Kluyveromyces lactis: one gene and its partner. The protein of the gene in region 1 interacts with the protein of each later gene in a pairwise test. Links are inferred from orthologs where the notes say so. Each region holds a gene or a part of one and is shown in the gene's direction. Other genes may lie near its edges.

Evidence for each region.
Region 2: the proteins of PHO85 (region 1) and CLG1 interact in binary tests that used the Saccharomyces cerevisiae proteins (3 or more experiments, as listed by UniProt). The link is inferred for Kluyveromyces lactis from reciprocal best matches to the Saccharomyces cerevisiae genes PHO85 and CLG1.

Annotation. Positions count from the first base shown.
Region 1 is NC_006040.1:1,021,558-1,025,289, reverse strand, and holds PHO85 (cyclin-dependent serine/threonine-protein kinase PHO85), read left to right. Parts: upstream 1-1,345; coding exon 1,346-1,362; intron 1,363-1,497; coding exon 1,498-2,395; downstream 2,396-3,732. Other genes in the region: TRM44 (tRNA (uracil) methyltransferase), read right to left, coding at 1-700; KLLA0_D11968g (uncharacterized protein), read right to left, coding at 2,508-3,620.
Region 2 is NC_006037.1:142,338-145,911, forward strand, and holds CLG1 (Clg1p), read left to right. Parts: upstream 1-1,584; coding exon 1,585-2,823; downstream 2,824-3,574. UniProt on the Saccharomyces cerevisiae protein: Cyclin partner of the cyclin-dependent kinase (CDK) PHO85. Has a role in cell integrity and polarized cell growth together with the other PCL1/PCL2 cyclin family members.

The DNA of each region.
Region 1 (3,732 bases):
TATCCACGACAACGTCATGCATTACCCGTTTCGCATACCCATCTTTGACACCTTTCGAATGCTTGTATGCTGTTTGTAATAACCTGAAAGCAGTTCTTACCACCCGTTGTTTTGGATCGAAAAGAAGCTCTTTTTGCCCTGCGAAAGGGATATAATGCACCGATAGCTGGTGATCATGCAATAGAATCCCTACTGCAGCCACTTGTGGGATATAAAACGGACATAACTCAGCATTATCAAAATGTGGGATGTAAATTACTAAAGAGGTTGAAGCATCTGAGTTGGAATTCATAACCAAACACGTCTGATTAATGATAGCATCCTTGAATGGATTCCTCGGAACAATCCTCCTAACAAATTGGAACTTTGTGGTAACATCAGCCAACGCTATCGGTACAGATCTCGGTGCTAGATCATCGATGTTTACTTTCAATATACCCTCATCGCTTCCCAACGCGATGTCTTTCTTCTCTGATTTCACACATGAACCAGACTCTAAGTCGTATTCATTGTCTATAAGCATATCTGCACGTAGAATAACAGTCGAGTTTACATTAGGCTGCCTTATCACATTTAGCATAGCTTGTTCGAAATGTGATTTATCGAAGTCGACAGGTTCCGCTGTCGAATATAAAGATTGCCATTCTGGTCCCAAAATACTGGATTTCTCCACGGTATAATGAAGCGTATTCGAGGTCATATCAAACTTACGTCAACTCTACCTGTGCACAGTCTATATGGTTCTCTATATCCTGGTATTCCATCGAGTTCTTCGAGTCTGCGTTGAAACTGCTTATTAGTTGATGAATCGATGCCCTCTTTAAATTTTTCACTTCGAACGTTACTCATGCTCTAAAGGCACCAGGAATTCGAAGCAACATACAAGATATCTTCCTGCCTTTAGCCATATAACCACTTGGAAGTTGTTCAACATGAATATTATTATTTACTACTGTAAATGAATGGATAAGATTTCCAGGTATTAAAGCGTAATTGTGTATTTACTCCTGTCTAATATTAGAAGATCTTCAAGTAGACTTTTGTCACTGGCATTATAATTAGCAAGTACAGGGGAAAGAAGAGTTTTGAAATGGTACGCATATATAATTAGGTAGTAAACTATCTGAGATGGACGCCACAACTGCCAAACCTCAAATATTTCTGTCCTCTTCTAAGTTACTTCCTTCTGTATCCACTATTTTATTCTAGATAACACCATTCTTAAATATTTGAAGATTTCAATTCCTATTTGAATCATTATCTCTTGAACAGATGTAAAAAGAGGATCCGATAATGGTTATATAGCTCTCAGGACCATTCCAAGGATCATCAATAAACATAAACTATGGTGGCACCATCTCAGTATGCAGTTTTGTGAATATTTGATACTGGCAGCGAGGAGTACAAAGCAGATGAGTACTTCTCCTTACCACTATAACTCTGACTTTTATACTAACGCAGCAATCGTTTGTCCCCTCTACTACGCTATGAAACCAGATTCAAGCAACTTGAAAAGGTTGGTAACGGTACGTATGCTACCGTGTACAAAGGATTGAATAAGACGACTGGTGTATACGTTGCTTTGAAAGAAGTGAAATTGGATAGCGAAGAAGGAACTCCGTCAACGGCCATTAGGGAGATATCGTTGATGAAAGAGTTGAAACATGATAACATCGTGAGGCTATTCGATGTGATTCATACTGAGAATAAGTTGACGTTGGTGTTTGAATTCATGGATAATGACCTTAAGAAGTTCATGGACAATAGAAACAAGGGAAATTCTCATAAGGGCTTAGAGATGGATTTGGTGAAATATTTCCAATGGCAGTTGTTACAAGGTGTAGCGTTTTGCCATGAGAACAGGATCTTGCATCGTGATTTGAAACCTCAGAACTTGTTGATCAATAACAGAGGTCAATTGAAACTTGGTGATTTTGGGTTGGCTCGTGCATTTGGTATCCCAGTTAACACTTTCAGCAGTGAAGTGGTGACTCTTTGGTATAGGGCTCCTGATGTGTTGATGGGGTCAAGAAACTATTGCACTTCAATCGATATTTGGTCATGCGGATGTATCTTGGCTGAAATGATTATGGGGAAACCGTTATTCCCTGGTTCCAACGATGAGGAACAGTTGAAACTCATATTCGATACGATGGGTACTCCAGTGGAGCAGACATGGCCGCAAGTGACTCAATTGGCTAAATACAATCCACTTTTGCCTCCACATATGCCTCGTGATTTGAAACAGCTATTACAAAACAATACGGAGGAAGTGTTGGACGATAATGTAGTGGATCTATTGCATGGTCTATTGCAACTGAACCCAGATGCAAGACTTTCTGCAAAGGATGCCTTGAACCACCCATGGTTTGCAGAATATAACCATGCCAACTAACGATTTTAGATTTAGATAGCCTTGCTCATCTAAAGATACAAACAAACAAATAAATAAATAAATAAGTGTATAGTAATCTGTAACCATTCCTTTTACTTTTTATATTACGGATTTATTGAATTACGTTGATGCTAGGCTGTCCTCCATATTCCATAATAAGTTTCATAACATGTTTGTCCTTAACGTCGACCAAGGTTTCCCATAAGACGTCCTGAGACAATAACAATGGTCTTGTTTCTTCCAACTTGTAGAATTTATTGATGAATTTGTTCAGGACACGTATTCTCCTTCTACTAAACGCCTCTTCGTCAGTATAATCGTCTACTAATAGCAACTCATGTAACTGCTGACCAGCAGGAGTCAAATATATGTTGTTGATTAGTTCGATTAAGGGTCCATTATTATCCAAGGATTTAGAAGGTAACACCGATGAGATGTGAGTTACCAAGATAATGGCATGGAATAAATGGTTGATGTTATATTGACCTTGGTTAGTATGGAAAAACCAATGCATTAAGGTTTCTATGAGGAAATAAGGCTGCTTCACCTCGTAGTGGACGGATAGTTCAAGTATCAACTGGTTGTAAACTGGTTTCTTTAGTTGAATATCGTTTTGGAAAAAAAATTCTACCTCCGAGTAAAATATTGATGGATAATCCTGTTTCTGCAATTCCTTATGCCTAGCATCGAGTCCTGTTAGATCTCCCTCTTGAAACAGAGCCAATCTTTCCTCTTGCAGTGCAGTTAACTCTTCATGATGTCCGATATGGCCAATCTCTTGAATCAAATGAGGATTATCGTTTAAAAACGAAACATACACCGAGTTTTCGAATACCTTCCCATTCAACCCATGGAACGCAGGTACGGGACCATTCTCGTTACCTTTCGAGCTTGTTAGATCACGGTTCAAATCATGGTAGAAATTTTCCAAGATGAACCTATGCAAGAGGAAACTCGTTGGTTTCAAACATGTATAAAAGAACTTATTCACCTCGTAAAGTTCATGATTACCACTAAACACAAAGATTTTCTGGATCAATTCACTGGGCAAATCCCGTATAGTCAATGGTTTGTCTTGTACCTTACATTTTTTCCTTCGAGAAGACCTTGAAAGTAAATTCGATGACCTTCGTACTTTCGCTCTTCTGCAGATGGCCCAGTCCTCTCGGTCACTATAAACACTCTGGAAATCCTTTGTACGATACCCAGCAGCGATAAACCCCATGCTCAATACCACTAGACGACCCCTGCACTTGAGATGGTCGTATTGTACCCAGCGCTCATCTCATCTCATCTCATCTCAAGTATATGTGTCTCTGGATCGGAAATAACCAATT
Region 2 (3,574 bases), on another chromosome or scaffold:
AAGTTCTTTTTCTTTTTCTTCGATTTGTCAAAATGAAAGAAAAAAAAACAAGAGAAAAATATATAAATTTCAACCTATATAGTTTAAATGCTTGTTATTTTGTGTACGTACAGTTAGGTATCTTTTTGATGAGGTTTTCAGAAGGTCAACGGACAAAGTTCTTCATCACTCAAGGGATATATTATTAGGACTCGGGGAAGTATTACATTCACCAGGCCGAACCATATATCATCCTCTTTTCCCTCATCTTTTTTTCTTTTTTTTTTAATCCACCATCCATCACTTGTTTAATAAACGGTGTTTGTGAGTTGGTTTTATTTGATTTGAAATACAGAATATTCTTCGGATTTCCTGTACTTGATTCAGTTCAGTTGGATCTGTGTTGGTTTTCGGTTAGATAATCCTGTTTTATCTGTCCTAGTTTTCTTTTGGAAAGCCGCTGCGTGTCTTTGGATCTTTTTCTCCTAGTTTTTGCTACTTAGTTTAGAGAGTGAAGGAGTTAAAGAAACAATTTCAGCTATTAATTCTATCGAACATTTTTGTTGACGGATTTTATCATAGGACGTGTTCCCACCTCATTGAAGAGCGTCACTTTGCAAATTCAAATTTTGTAAAGAATTATTTTGAGAGATAAAAGCTTACTAAACAGTCTTTCTGTTTTTTCATTGGTTTGGTCTAACTCATCGTCGCACTCTGAAGATAGTTATTAGGTTAATTTGTCTTATTGTGTGTCACTGCATCTTTCTTGTTTTGGAATAAGAAAGTGTCAAGAAGAAGAAGACAAATCCGTTTTTATTTTCTCTCTCCTCTGAGAGTTGTGAATTTTAATCTCAATAAAAGACCCATCCACATACTTTTATTATTCAATCACCACCCATTAACTTCACTCGACGGTTAAATTTGTTGTTGACTGTGCAAATTGTTTTTTTTTTGTTAGTCTCCGCGTATTTTCCCTTACCAACTTTTACATTTCTTTGAGCAATTGTACCAGAAGGCTTGAATAGAGGAAAATCTAAAGTTCAGAGCAAATCACATTACTCGATACTGGTCTAATATTAGCCCTATCGTATTTCTAATCTGTGCATTTCATTACAACTTTTTCCTGCCAGTTTTATTCGACTTCGTTTCAGTTTAATCAGATTCGATTTTCCCCTGCATTTACTTGTCGTGAGAGAATAAATCTTCTGTTATAGAGAAATTATTTGACGAAGCACTATTGATTCTATTTCTTTCAATTGCCTGAAATTCAAAAGAAATCTCTCTTTTGGTTTGTTTCTACCCTGTTGTTGATCAAGTTTTTTTACGGCTGAAGGTTAAATAATAACTCTTCAGTGACTAAACTTACTCAAAGACTGAAACTACTAAATTTAAAAGAAAAAAAAATCTCCCTTTCCTCCTAAAAATCTAGGTTAATCAAGTATCGTTGAAGGGAAACTGCATACTCTAGTAACATTCGCTAGACAGTTTTCGCTTGATATCTTTATTTGATCTAGTAACTTTACTGTTTCATTTTTTTTTGTTATACTCTTTTTTATTTTTTCCTTCTCCGCTTGATAAATTGGTTTTATTTTGATAGCAGTAATCATGGCTTCTTTCATGTATTACCCAAATTATCCAGCTATGTCTGTTCAATCGAACAGCATGGCTACCCCTTACCACCATCGTTCAGGTTCTATGAACCCTAGTATGGTATCATCTATCAACGGTTACGGTTGTCCTGCAGTTAATCCTACAACAATCACCCCTCACCAAATCGATGGTATGTTTCAACCAGGACATGGTCAATCCAACTCTTTTTACTTTCCTCCACCTGGTCTATCCTATATGCAACCACCAGCTGCTCCTGTTGTTGGACATGTTCCTGGCTTGGTTCAGAATCATGGTCACCCTGTTATGCCAGGTCATTCTATGATGATGAATCAGCCTCAGGTTATGGTTCCACCTGCAAATAATCAAGTTATCCCAGAGAAAGAACAAAATGTCAATGGCGGTGTTTGCGAAGTATTGGACTATGAATTAAACACGATGTCTGATTTCGTTACTAAGAACTCATGTTTGTCATTCGGCAGTTTTGATGTTCCCGCAGATGTTATGGAACTGTTCTCGAGCAGTGTGTCCTCTGTGTTGGGATCCACTAGATTACCATCTGTTACCATCTTTTTGGCTTTGGACTATTTGATCAAGTACCTAGATCTCATCGATTGTGACTTTCAGTCTATTGGTGGTAAATCTGTCGACATCATCTATCAAAATTTGGTGGTTGCACTTGTGCTAGCCAACAAGTTCAACGATGATAAAACTTTCACCAATAAATCATGGTCTCAAGCTACTGGTATGGACTTGTTGACAATTAACCAGTACGAAAAGTCTTGGCTTAAGGCGTTTGAATGGAGGTTGTTTGAAGATAAGTTCGATACTTATGAATCTTTCCAAGAATCATACAATGCTTTCGTCAGAGAGCAGAGACTATCTGCCTATCAACAACAGCAACAGCAGCAGCAACATCAACTGAGCCCATCTTCTGTTCCAACTCACCAACGTCAGTATTCATCTGCCTCGTCGATGGCCTATGGTTATCAAACACCAAACTGTGGACATTCCTCGATGGCTTATTCATCACCGGTTTATTCTGACTTGAGAAGTTACTCCTATAATAACGGTTACCAAAAACAATTCAACTGCTCTCCACCTTCCCAATACAGCCCTAGACCAAAGAACTATGACAATGTGAACTATTATGAGCAACCTCAACAACCTTTTTGGAACGATCATCATCAACAACAACAGGTTAATCAAAACTACTACTGTTTCTCAGCTTACTGAGGAAAACGAAAATATACAACAAGACAACGTTAACAAAAAAACATTAAAAAAATAGTTCAACTATACGCGTGACGAATTGTCGGCTGATTTGGACAATGGCTGCTCATAACGAGTCTGTCTGAGTGTGCATGCACCCGACGTTCGATGATTATAAACTATTCCCATTATTAAAAACCCCCAAAAAAATGATAAAAATGCTGATAAAAATCCTAAAAAAAAAAAAGAATTAAGACTAACAACGTATGGATGTTAGCCTCTTCACTCTTCTTTTCTTTCTTCCTTTCTTTCTTTCATAAACAATGATTGTTTGAAACTTAGAAGTCCTTTTGCCTGACACATTCCTTTTTTATACCGAAAATGAAGTATGCTGAGAGCAATGGAATTTTATTACTTCTAAACAGCACTTTTTACAGACCTAATTCAGGAAGAACTTTAACTATGCCAGGAAAAAACACGCATCAACGGGGGATAATGAACCAAAATCGCAAACAATTAATAATTTGCACTTTGAAATCCTTCTCTGTCTCTCATGTTTTGCCTGTGCGCGTTTTTTTCTTAGCTCAACTGCGTTTGTTAAAATGCAGTTGACACGAAGGACAAAGGTAATGAAGATCTCTTAATTGAGTTTAAATTAACTTCATTTTAAATAACCTTCTCCTTTTGTTATTCTTTTGCAAGATTAATACACTTAACCTCGCAGGATAAATCTGCATTGATAGTTAAAACAGCTATCAATACTGGAATGAAATAG